Linked DNA regions of Astyanax mexicanus. The protein of the gene in region 1 interacts with the protein of each later gene in a pairwise test. Links are inferred from orthologs where the notes say so. Each region holds a gene or a part of one and is shown on either strand. Other genes may lie near its edges. The genes, in order: ergic3 and apolipoprotein L2-like.

What was found.
Region 2: the proteins of ergic3 (region 1) and apolipoprotein L2-like interact in binary tests that used the Homo sapiens proteins (3 or more experiments, as listed by UniProt). The link is inferred for Astyanax mexicanus from reciprocal best matches to the Homo sapiens genes ERGIC3 and APOL2.

The regions. Positions count from the first base shown.
Region 1 is NC_064412.1:58,218,112-58,227,071, reverse strand, and holds the start of ergic3 (endoplasmic reticulum-Golgi intermediate compartment protein 3), read left to right. Parts: upstream 1-4,955; 5' UTR 4,956-5,018; coding exon 5,019-5,106; intron 5,107-5,792; coding exon 5,793-5,863; intron 5,864-6,498; coding exon 6,499-6,586; intron 6,587-7,323; coding exon 7,324-7,443; intron 7,444-7,901; coding exon 7,902-7,995; intron 7,996-8,686; coding exon 8,687-8,852; intron 8,853-8,960. UniProt on the Homo sapiens protein: Possible role in transport between endoplasmic reticulum and Golgi. Positively regulates trafficking of the secretory proteins SERPINA1/alpha1-antitrypsin and HP/haptoglobin.
Region 2 is NC_064432.1:26,310,502-26,319,177, forward strand, and holds apolipoprotein L2-like, read left to right. Parts: upstream 1-5,385; 5' UTR 5,386-5,468; coding exon 5,469-5,583; intron 5,584-5,878; coding exon 5,879-6,669; 3' UTR 6,670-7,338; downstream 7,339-8,676. Other genes in the region: apolipoprotein L3-like, read left to right, coding at 231-1,030.

The DNA.
Region 1 (8,960 bases):
GGGGTTGGGTTAGGTTGGGTTAGGTTGGGTGGGGTTGGGTCAGGTTGGGTGGGGTTAGGTTGGGTTGGGTTGGGTTAGGTGGGGTTGGGTTGGGTTAGGTGGGGTTGGGTTGGGTTAGGTGGGGTTGGGTTGGGTCAGGTTGGTTTGGTTTGGGTTGGGTCAGGTTGGGTGGGGTTGGGTCAGGTTGGGTTAGGTTGGGTGGGGTTGGGTCAGGTTGGGTTAGGTTGGGTTAGGTGGGGTTGGGTCAGGTTGGTTTGGTTTGGGTTGGGTCAGGTTGGGTTAGGTGGGGTTGGGTCAGGTTGGTTTGGTTTGGGTTGGGTCAGGTTGGGTTAGGTTGGGTCGGGTTGGGTTAGGTTGGGTTGGGTTGGGTTAGGTTAAATTATTGCTGGACATTAAGGACAAATAAGGAAAAAATTTTAAACATTTTTAAATAGATTTTTAATATAAACAACTATTGAGAAAAAATTATGAATTAAATGTAAAATTTGATGAGATTGAAGTTGATTTATTTGCTCTGCAGTAAGACAACATTTGAATCTGTCAGGATTTGCTTAAGTCTGAAATTTGACTGGGAAATTTTTTTACGCTTCTGTAATTCCAGTCAAGCATTTTGGTTTAAGAACCCATGAAACCAATAAGAAGCCATTACTGGAGGACAGTAATCCAGAGTTAATCAGTCTAAAAATCTATAGGACCCACTTTTTATTGTGTTATAAATACACAGTTTTACATGATGTAAAACATATAATACATATTTTCTCCCAGACCCACCCTGGAGCATCTAAACCCATCCAGCTCTCATGAGCTCCAGAACAACCTTCTGCCTCACAAAAACCTCCAGCATCTCAAACTCAACTTTTTAATTAGTAAAATAAAGATTAAATATTTTGTATTTTGTGCAGAAATGCTGATGAAAACCCAGTAAAGCTCTTTTACAGAAAGTGGAAGAAGAAAGATAAGTCTTACGGTTCTGTAGAGATGAGTTACAGCTCTGTCGTCAGTCTGAGACTCTGAGATTCTGAAGTTCAGACACTTTCAGACTGTGGGATTGGTCTCCTCTGAGCTGTTTGTGTTTTTCTGTCCAATAGAGCAGCTTTATGCAAACAGCAGCTGCTCATTATTCAAAGGTGTGCTTTTAGGATTGATATAATTTACTGCAGTTTATTTTAAAATATTTTTTTCCCAAATTGCAGGTTATGAAGCTCAATGTTTTGAAGTTCTCTATTCCTAGAAGCACATTGTATTAAATCTTATTAAATCGTATTAAAGGTTCAGATCTTCCTGGTTCTTATACAGACTTGTGTAGAGATTTTGCTGATTTATATCAGGTGTAGCTCCTTTACTGATAAAGCTCTAATTGTTTGAGATTTTCATATTATAATTAATAAGTATTCTTATTCTTAGTAAAGTATTCTTAATATGCTTAGTAATAATAACAGCTATAATTATTTTCAGATACGGGGGACTGTAGAGAGATTTAGATATAGGTAACATACTCAGGTGAATAGTGTTTGTTAAACGTTACACACGTCTTCTCTCGCTCTGTTATCAGACAGAATTCCACTGCAGTTTAAGGTGAAATTTTCGATTAAGGATTATTATTATGCACTGAATATTAACTGGATTTGTCCAAGAGCAAGTAATCAGATTCACACAGTGATTTAGATTTCCTAATACAGCTGTGAATTAATTTCTAATGCAGTGAGAATTTTCCCATCTGTCTAAGATTCCAGTCTTTATTTCTGCCTTAAGAAAGGAGATTTTGTATGTAATGCTAAAAACACACCTTCTGATTTACAACATATAAACTCCTGTACTGGTTTACAGATCTTACAAGCTTTATACCAGTTACTCAAACCAGTAACACCAATAAGGCTGAACAGCAGAGTGGAGACTACTAGTAATAGTGAGCTACTTTAACAACAACTCATCACATCAAAACCTAATCAACAGATACTAAAAGTCATAACTCAACATATCAACAGATCACTATACCATGATCACTACACCATGATCCCTAGCACATGTCCCCAGAGGCAGAGTGAATCACAGGTGTGATTTATGTAAATGCTCGGTACACTTGTTTGTGCGGATTTGTGTAGATGTATATGTGAATTTGAATAAACAAAAACTCTCAGCAGCTGCTCGCATCACTCAGGTACCGAGAGAGTAGAACAGAGACGCTGGATCTTACGGTGGCCCTGAAGTGCAAAACAAATTAACATGTCAGAAAACAAAATTACAAAAACTAAAACACATTTACAAAACTTAAAACAAATTTACAAGACGCAAAACACTTTTACAAATACTGAAACACTTTTACAAACACTGAAACACTTTTACCAGCACTAAAACACTTTTACAAACGCTGAAACACTTTTACAAATACTGAAACACTTTTACAAATGCTAAAACACTTTTACAAATACTGAAACACTTTTACAAACGCTGAAACACTTTTACAAATACTGAAACACTTTTACAAACGCTGAAACACTTTTACAAACGCTGAAACACTTTTACAAACGCTGAAACACTTTTACAAACTGCGATTTCTGACGGAAAGGGAGGGTCTAACACACAGGAAGTGCTTGATGCGGACCCTCCTTGTCAGTCAAGCTGCGTTACGATGAGAGAGTTGAGTTATGAACACCAAACTATGTTTTGTGGCACGTATTTTAGCAGCAGCAGTAAATACTTAAACTATCCCTGTCCTGTTGCTACCCCCGCCGCGGGGTTCACCTAATACCCCGGGGGTTCAGCTAATGCCACGCGGCCATCAGCCACTACCCCCGCCGCGGGGTTCACCTAATGCCCGGCGGCCATCAGCCACTGCCCCGCGGTTATCAGCCACTGCCCCCGCCGCGGGGTTCACCTAATACCCCGGGGGTTCAGCCACTGCCCCTCGGTTATCAGTCACTGCCCCCGCCGCGGGGTTCAGCTAATGCCCGGCGGCCATCAGCCACTGCGCCGCGGTTATCAGCCACTGCCCCCGCCGCGGGGTTCTCCTAATACCCCGGGGGTTCAGCCACTGCCCCGCGGTTATCAGCCACTGCCCCCGCCGCGGGGTTCAGCTAATGCCCGGCGGCCATCAGCCACTGCCCCGCGGGGTTCAGGTAATACAGTACAGGAGTGGCTGAACCCCGCGGGGCAGTGGCTGAACTCCGTGGGGCATTAGCTGAACCCCGCGGCGGGGGCAGTGGCTGATGGCCGCGTGGCATTAGCTGAACCCCCGGGGTATTAGGTGAACCCCGCGGCGGGGGCAGTGGCTGATGGCCGCGTGGCATTAGCTGAACCCCCGGGGTATTAGGTGAACCCCGCGGCGGGGGCAGTGGCTGATGGCCGCGTGGCATTAGCTGAACCCCCGGGGTATTAGGTGAACCCCGCGGCGGGGGTAGCAACAGGACAGGGATAGTTTAAGTATTTACTGCTGCTGCTAAAATACGTGCCACAAAACATAGTTTAGTGTCCATAACTCCACTCTCTCATCGTAACGCAGCTTGACTGACAAGGAGGGTCCGCATCAAGCACTTCCTGTGTGTTAGACCCTCCCTTTCCGTCAGAAATCGCAGTTTGTAAAAGTGTTTCAGCGTTTGTAAAAGTGTTTCAGCGTTTGTAAAAGTGTTTCAGCGTTTGTAAAAGTGTTTTAGCGTTTGTAAAAGTGTTTCAGCGTTTGTAAAAGTGTTTCAGCGTTTGTAAAAGTGTTTCAGCGTTTGTAAAAGTGTTTCAGCGTTTGTAAAAGTGTTTTAGCGTTTGTAAAAGTGTTTCAGTGTTTGTAAAAGTGTTTCAGTGTTTGTAAAAGTGTTTCAGTATTTGTAAAAGTGTTTTGCGTCTTGTAAATTTGTTTTAAGTTTTGTAAATGTGTTTTAGTTTTTGTAATTTTGTTTTCTGACATGTTAATTTGTTTTGCACTTCAGGGCCACCGTAGGATCTGCATTACTGAGCCTGAAATATAGAAAATTATTAACAGTGTAAATATCATTCAACCTGTTTTATCCAGCTACATAACATACACAATCTGCCATAACCTTAAACAGTAATTGATCTACAGATCTACAGTAACTGATCTACAGATCTACAGTAACTGATCTACAGTAACTGATCTACAGATTTACAGTAACTGATCTACAGATCTACAGTAACTGATCTACAGTAACTGATCTACAGTAACTGATCTACAGATTTACAGTAACTGATCTACAGTAACTGATCTACAGTAACTGATCTACAGATCTACAGTAACTGATCTACAGTAACTGATCTACAGTAACTGATCTACAGATCTACAGTAACTGATCTACAGTAACTGATCTACAGATTTACAGTAACGGATCTACAGTAAATGCTCTACAGATCTACAGTAACTGATCTACAGTAACTGATCTACAGATCTACAGTAACTGATCTACAGTAACAGATCTACAGTAACTGATCTACATATCTACAGTAACTAATCTACAGTAACTGATCTACAGTAACTGATCTACATATCTACAGTAACAGATCTACAGTAACTGATCTACAGATCTACAGTAACTGATCTACAGTAACTGATCTACAGTAACTGATCTACAGTAACTGATCTACATATCTACAGTAACAGATCTACAGTAACTGATCTACAGATCTACAGTAACTGATCTACAGTAAATGCTCTACAGATCTACAGTAACTGATCTACAGTAACTGATCTACAGTAACTGATCTACAGATCTACAGTAACTAATCTACAGATCTACAGTAACTGATCTACAGTAAATGCTCTACAGATCTACAGTAACTGATCTACAGCTCTACAGTAACTGATCTACAGTAACTGATCTACAGTAACAGATCTACAGTAACTGATCTACAGATCTACAGTAACTGATCCACAATAACTGATCTACAGCAGATCCTCAGACAGTAAATCCCGTGTTGTGTAGATCTATAGTAACCGACGCGGTGTGATCTGATTGGCAGAGAGAGTGCGGTGTATCCGGTGCGGAGCGGAAGTGAACCGGATCGCAGAGGGAAAGATGGAGGCGCTGAATAAACTGAAGCAGTTTGACGCTTATCCCAAAACTCTGGAGGACTTCAGGATCAAAACCTGCGGCGGAGCGACCGGTGAGTTCCTGCCCCGCCCAGACCGAACCGAACCCCGGCGGGAAGCGGCGGGTCACCGCGCTACACTCACCCTGCTGTAGGAACTATCCTGTCCACCTTAAATCTCCCCGCTGCTACAGCAGTGTCGCCTGATGCGCTGGAATAGAACAGCCGCGACATTTAAGGTGGAACTCACAGTTCCTACAAACACTGAACTCAACACTGCATTTTACTGAAGATTTAAATGAAGCTTTAAAGTGAAACAGCATTTTAACCCTGTGTGGCTGTTTTCTTATGTTTAATATATATGTAATTATAAGATTATTATATGTACCTTCATTATTTTGTTATTATTGTACTGTTTCGTTATTTTGTATGTGGCTATTTTGTTTACTTTCACTTATTAAAACACTGTTATGAATTGTTGCCTCTACTAAACATTATGCAGCTACAAAACGAAGCGAGCATGATAAATCAGTGGTTCTTATTTTATTCATGTAAAAACTGGATCTAAATAGTAGGCTAAAATATATATTTTCTAAACAAATACAAAGATCATGCTATAGGGGGTTAAACTGAGCTCAGGTGCTGCTGTCCAGCGATCAATTTAATAATGAAGTTAATAATAGAACAGAATAGTATTCTGCTGTGCTAAACTAAGAGAATTCGTATTAAACCCTGAAGACTAACTTTTTCCCTGTTTTCAGTTACGATCATCAGCGGACTGATCATGCTGATCCTGTTTTTCTCAGAGTTACAGTATTATCTTACCAAGGAGGTGAGTGTGCTTTAAATTAACATAAAATAAATAATCACTGTAATTTAAATACTAATCTTATTATTAATATTAATTTTAAGAAACACAATACAGGAAGATGATAAATGCTGCACTGAACAACTAGATTTATACACAGAGCCCCTTTCCTCCCCTATACTCTCACCACACTTAACCCCCCGACCCCACTCCTTCTTATCCGTAATCATAGTAAAAACATTTATCAGTTCTAGTACTACTACCAATACCACTAATACTACTCTTAATAATAATAATTATGCTAATATTAGTACTATATCAATTTTACATTACAATTACTTTTGTTATCACTACTTCTACTACTAATTACAGTAATAGCAGTTTTAGTACCAGATTCTGCAACTACTGATAATCATTTTGTAGCACAATTAAAACATACATACAGTTTAATATAAAAACAATCTGATAAAACATAACAGTTCGAGTAGAAATGTTATACATTGTTTTCCTGTAATAGAACTAATTAATCAGTGTTGCTGATTTGTTTATACAGGCTGATGTTCTCCTGCTGTGCTCGAGGCCTGCAGAACCTTCATTGTGTCATTCTGTTTTAATGACAATTCATTAAAAATTAGGACATTTATTGTCTCTGGTTTCAGGTCCACCCTGAACTGTTTGTGGACACTTCGAGAGGAGACAAGCTGAAGATCAACATTGATGTTGTGTTTCCTCACATGCCGTGTGCCTGTGAGTAACTCTCCTGATCCCCATGTTCTGTACAAAACTGCGAGGGATTATTATTGTTTTTCATCATGTTAAAGATTAAATGTTACTGATAAATGATAAACCATGTTTAAATCATGACTGTGATTACCCAGTTTATAAAACCCAGTTCAGTAAAAATCCAAAGCTTTTACCATCACTTACTAAAATTAATATTTCCATCATAGTCTGGAGTTCTGCACCGGATCACAATATGCTCAAATATCTCAATATTACCTCATATATAACCGTAATACACTCTAATTAACAAAACCTGCAGTACAACACAGTGAAGTAACGTTACGACTAGATTATATGACATATAAAATGTAATATAGTATAAATATAATATAAATAATATATATTTTTTTTAACCAGTCCATCAATAAGCTCTTCAGCTCGGACTTTTTATTTACTCTTTATTCTCCGGAAGAATTCTCTTTTGAAGCTGCAATTCTATTTCTTGAAAAATTATGAATAATTGATTAAGTCCTGCCTATAGTCCCTTTAAATCTTGTAAACTGATTTTTGATAAAGCGTGCTTATGTTTTCAAATTAATAAATTTTTACCATTTAATACATTTTTACTTTTTTTAACTTTTAAAATTGACGTGTTGAAAATCCTTATATCTCATACTCATATCCCGGTACAGTATTAGGTTTTATCAGCATCACCCAGCATTACATATCAGAGTTTATTTATTGTTATTTCTGACTCTCAGATCTGAGTATTGATGCGATGGACGTGGCGGGAGAGCAGCAGCTGGACGTGGAGCACAACCTGTTTAAACAGAGGCTGGATAAAGACGGAAAACCCGTCAGTTCTGAGGCAGAAAAACACGGTTAGTATCTGTTTAACGTTCCTGATCTTGAATTTAACGTCTGTTAGTCCAGTTCTCTAAACTCTCCTTCTAAACTTTTCCTGCCTGTAGTTTTTACTTACTATATAAAATCAGCTTTTTACTAAAATGTTTTTGTGGTGTGTAAATCTCACCCTGCGTCTGAATCCTCAGTAGAAACTCGATCTGATTGCTGTTTATTTCAGACTGGAGTTCAGTTCTGCTGCAGTGTGAGAAACGGGACTGAACAATCAATAAAGAAGAAAAATATATGTATTTAGGGGTGATTTTTTTCAGGAAGAATGAAACTGTAATATTTATACTAGAGCTGATCGGTGATGGTTGGCAGCAGTACCGTACTCTAAATAAAGTACGTTCGTTTAAGGAGGAATGTTTTATTAAGTTTGTATAATTAATAAATATAAATAAACTGAATGTTCAGTTTTGTGTTTTGTGAATAGATCTGGGTCAGGAGGAGGGAGAGATATTCGACCCCAGTAAACTGGATCCTGAGCGCTGCGAGAGCTGCTACGGAGCCGAGACTGAAGATCTGAAGTGAGTCTTTAGTTTTAATCTTCTGCTTCAGTAAAACTGGACAACCGGTTCAACCTGATTTATTCTGCATCTTAAACACAGAGAGATGGAATGTAGAAAAACTGAGTTTTAGTTTGGAGAAGAAGAAGAAGAAGAAGAACCGGTTCTCTGCTTAAAAAACTGGAGTGAAATTCAGATCTGATCAGCAGAAAAAGGAGCTTCTGTTAGTCACTAAGAGAAGATCAAATAATATATCTGATTAAATTCTGAAAATTCTCCACACAGTTCAGTCCCACAGCACCCAGTAAACACTAAATACTAAATACAGTAAAAGCTGCTGACAGTGTTTCTGTAGGAAAACAAGAAGAAAACCAAGAGCACGTTCTGCTTCAACAGTTTCACACAGATAAAACTTTAATTTTATATTTTATCCTGCGTTATCCTGTGGCCAGCCCTCCTGTACACATTTAAATGATAATATTATATATGAATTTAAGTGTCAGATTTTAAGGCCCATCACAATAACTGTTTGTTTGAACAGTTTATTGTCATTTAAAAACTATTTTGTGCCACTGGTTTACTTAATGATAATGTAGCATAACAATGTGATTACACACTTTTTAAAGAGCAGTTGACTTTTTATAATAATGATTAAGCTACATCAGAGATCAGTTTTGTACTTTAGAACTGATTCTGAGACTCTGATGTTTAGATGCTGTAATACGTGTGACGACGTGCGAGAGGCGTATCGGAGGCGAGGCTGGGCCTTTAAAACCCCCGACACCATCGAGCAGTGCAAGAGAGAGGGCTTCAGCCAGAAGATGCAGGAGCAGAAGAACGAAGGATGCCAGGTCTACGGCTTCCTCGAAGTCAATAAGGTGCTTTAGAAATTTACACTGTATTTCTATACTGATCTGTACTTTTATATAAATATGGTGTAAAAAGATGTAAAGCTGTTTTTCATAATGTGTGTTCTACGTGGATTT
Region 2 (8,676 bases), on another chromosome or scaffold:
CCGCACTGGGATGTCATTATTCACTATTTTTAGAAAGAGTAAGCTCCGCCCTTTTTTAACCATATATGGATTATGTTTATGTTTAAAGGGATTTCTGAGTAATTAAGCTGAGAACACAAATTGAGATTTTTGATGGAAAAAAAAATTGTTAAGGGTTAAAGTCAAATTGACCCCAAAGATAATAGGAAAAAAGAGGATCAACGTAATTACATTCTGTATCTTCCTCACAGGTTTTCAGAAATCCACCAGAGAATACGCAGAATTTTATAAAAAGGTGGTGCTCCTCGTCGCTCTCGCCGACAGCAACATCCCTGAACTCCAGGAGCAAATCTGTAAGCTGAGGGAAATCACCAAAGCTGTGGAGGACATCCACAGGAGTTTCACCGCCGGAAGCCTGGTGGGGGGCGTGTTCGCAGCAGTCGGAGGAATCACTGCAGCGGTGGGATTCGTCCTGGTGCCGTTCACATTTGGTGCGTCTCTGGTTGTAGCGGAAGCAGGGGCTATAGTTGCTGTAGGTGGCGGTGCAGCATCAGCCGCCTGCAACGTCTTGAGCGCCATCCATAAGAAAGTGTCGCGCGACGACATCGAAAAAGCCCTGGAAATATTTAACAAAAGACTCTCGCCCATCAACAAGTGCCTGGAGGACATCCAGATTAAACTCAAGAAGCTGCCGCGAGAGAACGAGGGTCAATTCAACCTCAGATTACGGGGAATAATGATGAAGGAAATAATGGAAACCATCGCCGAATCAGGAATGCTTGTAGGCAGGACTCTCAGATCCGTAGCCACGGTCATGACTGTAGTGTCCAGCATCTTCGTCGTGCTGGATATCTTCTTCATCGTCAGCGATTACAGAGAACTGGAGGAACTGGAGAATCCGCCCAGCAGCAGCCAAATCAAGTCCAATACGGTTCAATTCCTCCAGAAGATGAAAGAAATCATACAGACTCTTAAGCAAGCAGTGGGCGATATCAAGAGCGCCATCAAAACGCTGCAGCGCCTCCCGTCTCCACGCATGCTAACGAGCTAACATGCTAACGAGCTAATGAGAAAACACAATATGCTAACACAAGCTTCACAGCTTTACTTTACACCGTAAAAGAAGGATGAATTCGATATATACTGTATTTCTGATTTTGCTATTTATAGTTATATGTTTGAGTAAAATGAACATTGTTGTTTTATTTTATAAACTACGGACTATAAACATTACTCCCGAATTACAAATCCAAAAAAACAATATTGTCATTTAGAGCATTTATTTGCGGAATGCGAATAGAAATGGCTGAAATAATGGCAAGAAATCAATATTTGGTGGAATAACCCTGGTAGTTTTTAATCACAGTTTTAATTTCATGCATCTTGGCATCATGTTCTCCTCCACCAGTCTTACACACTGCTTTTGGATAACTTTATGCTGCTTTACTCCTGGTGCAAAAATTCAAGCAGTTCAGTTTGGTGGTTTGATGGTTTGTGATCATCCATCTTCCTCTTGATTATCTATTTTGGACTTAAGTCATTTTATTGTTAGCAGTGCTTTATACCAGTGTAAATGATTTTAGCTTCATAATTTTCTTTTTGCTTTTTATGTGGAATTAAACACAAAGTTAAAATTAATTATTTGCCCAATTACTTGGTTAAGTTCCAACGTAATTACTTATAATTGAGTGATGTAATAAAGACATTTCTTGAACATTTTCTAGTTCTGATCTTTCCTTTTTTAAACACTGCCAGTAACTGAGGGAGGGCTCTGCTCGAGGAACATGCTCAGTTGTCTCTGACTGCACTCACTCCCGTTACGAGTGGCGTGCATCAAAAAAAAAAAAAAAGTAGTAGTTATCCTTATATTTTGAGGCTAAACCCTGAACATTACAGAGCTCACTCCTATTGCCCGACACAGACCAACAACAACACTGCACTCATTTTTGCTGGATCAGCAAAAATCTGATTTATTTTTAAATCCCCTACTAAAGTAATCTTTGTGTTTAACTTCATATCCTACGCTAGCAGAACCCATAGAGTCTCAACATAAAACCAGAAAGAGTACTACACCAATAAGAAAACTTTAGGAAAGACTCCTAGCACTACAGTGGCCAAACTCTATAATAGAAATAACCTTGTGACTCTAGATAAGATAAATACTGTAAAATTTAAAAATGCAAAAATGTGTGGGTGAACATAAACAGTGTGTCTATGCTGTGGGTCCTGTAGGCTTTGGTCCATTTTGCTTGGGGCCCCCAGACGCATTGAAAGGGCCCCGTCATTAGTCGTTCCTCGCATTGCGCTTGGGAGGGGGGATAAAAGCTACATTTGCCTTTAGTGAGGAACAAAAGAAAGAATTTCATTGTATGAGGAAACTTTTCTTATCGTTTCTTACTGTGCACATGACAAACTTTTGAAAGACGTCTCTGGACAGTAGAGAGACAGTTATTGCAACAAAAGCAGAATAAACTCATTTAATATCATTTATTTTAAAAGAAACGATGACTAGAAAGTGTCCTGATGTTTTTGTCAAACACTAAATGCCTGATTATATAAAACATTGTCAGGTGGTGAGGAAGCAGGATATGAGCACTTTAATGTAAATACTGACCAGGAGAATAAACAATGACAGCAATGATCCTTCAGCAAGCATCTAAAAAAACAATCATGGAAACAAAAAGAAACTAAAAGAGGTTACAGTGAGGAGATTCAGACATTTAACCCCGTAGGTTATATCTATATTTTAATATGTGTTCTAAACCTCTAAACCTCCTCAGGGATTAAGCCTAGTCTTGGATTTATTTTAAGATTTGACAGTATTTTAAATAGAGTTTTTCTATTGAAATGAAAATATAGACAAAAACTGGGCTTAATGCCCATAAATCCTAAATAGGAATCCAGCATGATTTATTATTTCTGAATTATTATTTTTTATATATTATGTTTTATCTTTAACAGAGAGTGAAATAAACTGCTCTTTTAGCAAATATTTACTCTCCAGAAACATGTGACAAAGTGAAATAATAAGTGAACACAGCCTGAACCTCCCTTACATTACTTCCATCACTTCAGGAGATCCTACCTGTGAGGTAAGTGCCATCTATGATTTTATAAAGCTTTATAAATAAATAGATTACTGCTCACCACAGCATCCTTTGTAAAAAAAAAAATGTTTATAGTCATATGTTATATGTTATTTTCACCACTATTTAATACAATTCAAGCATAATTTGTGTGAGCAGTGTCCGACTGAACATTGAAAACATATCAAAAGTGTGATTAAAGAGAGGATTTAACATCACATTCATTTTGATGAGTGTATATAAACTGGTAAAAACAAATCTACAAATCTAAGAATCAGCTGTTCAATCTTTCAATCTTTTACTTACACTAAACTAACTAAAGTAAACTTTTAAAGTAAAGTTTTTAGACAAAACCGTTTATCACATTATCACAGTTTTAATTTGTAAACACAAAATGACAGTTTTGGTAGCAAAATTCATGTTTTATGAAACTATACTAAGCATATATTTTTATTAAGTACATTACCTGAACAAAATTAGCACAGCCAAATAAAGTGTACTTTTAAAAGTATACTGAAATACAGATTAAGCTAAGGTAACAATGTATGTTCAAGGAGGAAAGATACAATTTAATTATTCCGCATATAGGTTCAAGTACATTATTGTTATTGTTATATATTTAAATACACAATTTTCAGGAAAAGGAAGTGTGTGTTAAGCCTAGTATCATGTACAGTGGCTTGCAAATTTTTTGTGGCCCTTGAACTTTTTCACATATTGTCTTTTTATATAGTAGCTCATTACTGAGATATTAAACCAAAATTATACATGTTTTTTTATTGTAATCAAATAAAAATCTGAAAAGTGTGATGTTTCACAGTGGGGACTGGGTGTGCAGGACTCATAGTTGTCCTGTGGACAGATTCTCCTCATCCTCCTGAGCTGTGGATCTCTGCAGCTCCTCCAGAGTGATCATGGGCCTCTCGGCTCTATTTGCTGGATCTGTTAGTTTGGGTGGATGATTGGTTCATATCTTGGTAGGATTGTAGGAACAGTTGTAGAATACTTTTTCAGGTTTATTGGCTTTTAGATGATGGATTGATGAACAGAGCTGTTTGGGATGATCAAAGCTTGGGATGTGTTTTTATAATCTAACCCTGCTTTAAACCTTTATCTTCTTCTCCGCAACTTTATCTCTGGCCTGTCTGGTGAGTTTTTCATTGTTGGTCTTCATGATGCTGTGTGTTCACTAGTGTTCACTAACAAACAAACTACTGAGGTCTTCAGAGAACAGCTGTATTTGTACAGAGACTAAATTACACACAGCTGGATTAACTCTATTAACTCATTAATCTATCTATTCTAATTAAACAAAATATGACTTTTGATGGCAACTGACTGCACTGGATTTTATTTAAGTGGTTGAGAGTAAAGGGGAATGAATACTTGCATCACACTTTTTGACGTTTTTATTTGAATAAAATTTTGTAAACTATCATTTTCATTGCACTTCACGATGATGTGCTACTTTGCGTTGGTTTATCTCTTAAAATCTCAATAAGTATTGAGTGAGTATTCCAGGTTTTCTGGTTTGGCCCTGTTTATTAAAGTCAATCCAAACTTTCACTCCAGTCTGTGGCATCAAATTTGTATTCTAATTCCTCTAAGTGGAGTATTTGTACACCAATTAAGAATTGTTACAGCTTAGAAAAGTTTACAGCTCTGGAAGAAAATAAGAGAGCACTTAAAAATGTAGACCAAAGAATTCTTTGATTTTATCCAATTGAAACCCTCTAAAATATAATCAAGAGGAAGATGGATGATCACGAACCATCAAACCACCAAACTGAACTGCTTGAATTTTTACACCAGGAGTAAAGCAGCATAAAGTTATCCAAAAGCAGTGTGTAAGACTGGTGGAGGAGAACATGATGACAAGATGCATGAAAAACTGTGATTAACCCTGCTGTTATGTTAAAGTTTGGAAATCTTCATAAATATAGTTAAAAGTATTTTTTTCAGTATGAAACTTTTTCTGCTCGAGGTATGCTTTAAGGTCTGAAAGCTCTGCATCTTTTTTGTTATTTCAGTCATTTCTCATTTTCTGTAAATAAATGCTCTAAATGAGAATATTTTTATTTGTAATTTGGGAGAAATGTTGTCTGTAGTTTATAGAATAAAACAACAATGTTCATTTTACTCAAATATAAACCTATAAATAGCAAAATCAGAGAAACTGATTCAGAAACTGAAGTGATCTCTGCGTCAGAGCTGTATATCTGGACCTTGATTACCCAACTACATTTGTTATTGGAGGTCTAATGCCAGCGTATTTCTAGCAGTTAATTTTTCTGGTTTCTTCTGGTTACAGGATTGACTTTGAAGCTGAAAGTGAACTGGGCGGTACTTCATAAACATTCTGTCAACGCTCAGTTAAACAAGAAGGATCATTAAAACAATTAAATGGACTCATCAGACGAGCACAAACTACTCATCAACTCCACATACGGCAGCTCTGACAGCGATGACAGCTCTGATTCAAATCACAGCATAGAGCAGCCTCCCTCTATACACAACGGTAAGATTTATCTCATTATTTCTTTTAAATAATTGTATTTAAGCATGAAGTGCAGTGATGCGTCTCTCAGAAGTGGAGTCACCACAGGTCTAGGGTCTAGTGTATCCATCCCTATATGTTTCAGTGATGAAATAGCCCAAACAACCAATGATTTATAAAGGAAAACCATGAAAATGATCAGCGGTGCCCAAACTTTTTCATTCCACTGTAACTGTATGTTAAGTTTTGCAGCATTTTTTTTTCAACAAGTTAAAAAAATGCACTTCCACTAATTTAACTCCAATGTGCTCAACAGGGGTTCCACCAGAGGAGTCTCTCATTAGGAATATAAATTTATTTACATCCCTCTTCGACAGCAGTATCTCTGAACTCCAGAATCAAATCAATAAACTGAAAGAAATCACTGAGAGAGTGGAGAAGATTCATCGTAACACCACTATTGGAAGCCTCTCAGGAGGAGTGATTAGTGCAGTTGGAGGAATCTTGACTATCGTAGGTCTTGCCCTCACTCCATTTACTCTGGGAGCCTCACTGATTGTAACAGGAGTGGGTGTAGGAGTAGCTGTTTCTGGAGGCGTAGCAGGGGCGGCATCAAACATCACTGACCTGATTAATCAGAAAGTTTCACGAACAGAAATAGAAAAAATTCTGAAAACAGTTCAGGACAAACTTCCCCCCATTCTCAAACACCTGGAAGAAATAGAGATCAGGCTGGATGAGATACAACAATTTGACCCTACAGATCCATCAGGGCGAAAAGCACAGATTGGATTCGGATTAGGCAGAGGGGTAGGATACAGTGCAGAACTACTACGACTGGTTAACGTTGTTGAAATAGGTAAAGTAACAGCACAGGTATCTAGAACCGTAAAAGCAGCTGGAGCAGTTACAGGAGTTCTGGCAGGTCTCTTTCTGGTGCTGGACGTTGTCTTCGTTGTCAAAGACGCCAAAGAACTATACAATATTAATAATGGAAATGGAAAATCAGCCATAAGTAAATTCATTAAGGGAATGAAGGTCACTGTTGGTCAACTTACTGAAACACTGGATCAACTTCAAGGGGTCCGAAATCGATTTAATGCCTAGATCACAAGCTAACGAACAGAGCCCTTTTACGCTGCTGAAGCCGTACGTCTGGGTGTCTATGTTAATTTAGGCGCAGAGGAAGCACAGGTATCTAAAGCAGTAACAGCATTCGGAGTGATCACAGGAGCCCTGGCATGTCTCTTCCTCCTGATGGATCTTCTGCTTATTGGCTACTATCTTAAACAACTCAGAGAAATGAACAAAGAGCGGAGAAATGGAAACGGAAAATCATCCATATGCAAGTTCATTAAAGGAATGAAAGAAAATGTTGATCACCTGAACCAAACACTGGATCGACTTCAGGAAGTCAGACAGCAATTTGACGCAAAGATAAAAAAATAAAAAAATGAACTGAAACTTGTATTATCATTTTGTAAAACACTCAATCACTGTAGACCAAAGAATTCTTTGATTTTATCAAATTAAAAACCTCTGGAATATAATCAAGAGGAAGATGGATGATCACAAACCATCAAACCACCAAACTGAACTGCTTGAATTTTTGCACCAGGAGTAAAGCAGCATAAAGTTATCCAAAAGCAGTGTGTAAGACTGGTGGAGGAGAACATGATGCCAAGATGCATGAAAAAAAACTGTGATTAAAAACCAACCAGGATTATTCCACCAAATATTGATTATTTCTGAACTCTTAAAACTTTATGAATATGAATTTTTTCTCTTTGCATTATTTGAGGTCAGTCATTTCTCATTTTCTGTAAATAAAAGCTCTAAATATAATATTTTTATTTGGGAATTTGGGAGAAATGTTGTCTGTAGTTTATAGAATAAAACAACAATGTTCATTTTACTTAAACATAAACCTATAAATAGCAGAAACTGATGTGGTTAAAATATACTCAAATACTGTAGAGCATATTTTTAATATTTTTATTCTTTTGTGTATTTTGGATTTTTTTTGTACTTTATGCATCATATTTATAAGACTTTAGACTGAAGACTGAAGGCTTGTTTATGTTTTACTTTCACTTGCATGCAAGCTGCATAACTGGACAATTTTAGTGATTGGTTTAGAGCTGCAGTCATGATAAATTGTTCTTCTGTACATATATACATACATTTACATTTTCTGACAATATTGAAACTAGTTTGATTTTATTACAATATGAGAAATATTAAGTAAAATTTTGATTATTAATTGAATTGAACTGAACATACAGAAAGTGTCTTCAATTCCTTGAAAATAAAACAGTGTAAAAATTCACTGATTTTAAAGGGGCTTTATTTTCTTAAAAGGGTGGTTATCCACAGACTGCAGGGAGAATGCAGCACAGCTTAACATTAAATAATGCAGGAATGATCTGTATTTAACTTTTATTGCAAGTCAATGTAAAATGTTACTGTTTTCTGTTTAATAATAATCTAATGTTGGGTTTTACATATTTAAAAAAAACTCATGTTGTAAGACTTTGTAACTAATAGAAAATAAAATATATTCTCCAAACTGATGTGGGCAAATGAGAGTAATTAGACGGGTTTTGTCTACACCTATAGTATAGTATCTCAGTAACATTATTAAATTTATGTCAGTAATAGTAAAGCCATATTTCTTTCATTTCTAAATCATGAAACTTGGCCACAATGGTGAAAAGAGCAATTAAAACGGTGTTTACGCAAAAAAGTGTTTTAATATCCTCATATAGTTATAGAAAGAACCGCAATTAATGTATAACAAAAGATCACCTCAAATTTTTATTTGAGTAAAACATAGAATAAAAATGTTTTAAAATAAAGAGTGAATGGAATTATAAAGTAACAGTATACATATTAGTAGGAAAAATATATAGTTAAAAGAATAAGTACTAGCTAATTGGAGGCAGCATGAGATGAGATTGGATGTGTTGGTTAAAGCTGTCCTGCCCTATAAGAAACACACACCAGTCTAGAGTTTGCTGTTCTTAAGAAGCATTGCTTGATGTGATCATGCCTCACACAAAAGACCAAGCTCTCAGAAGACCTACGGGGCTGGAAAGGGTTACAAAAGTATCT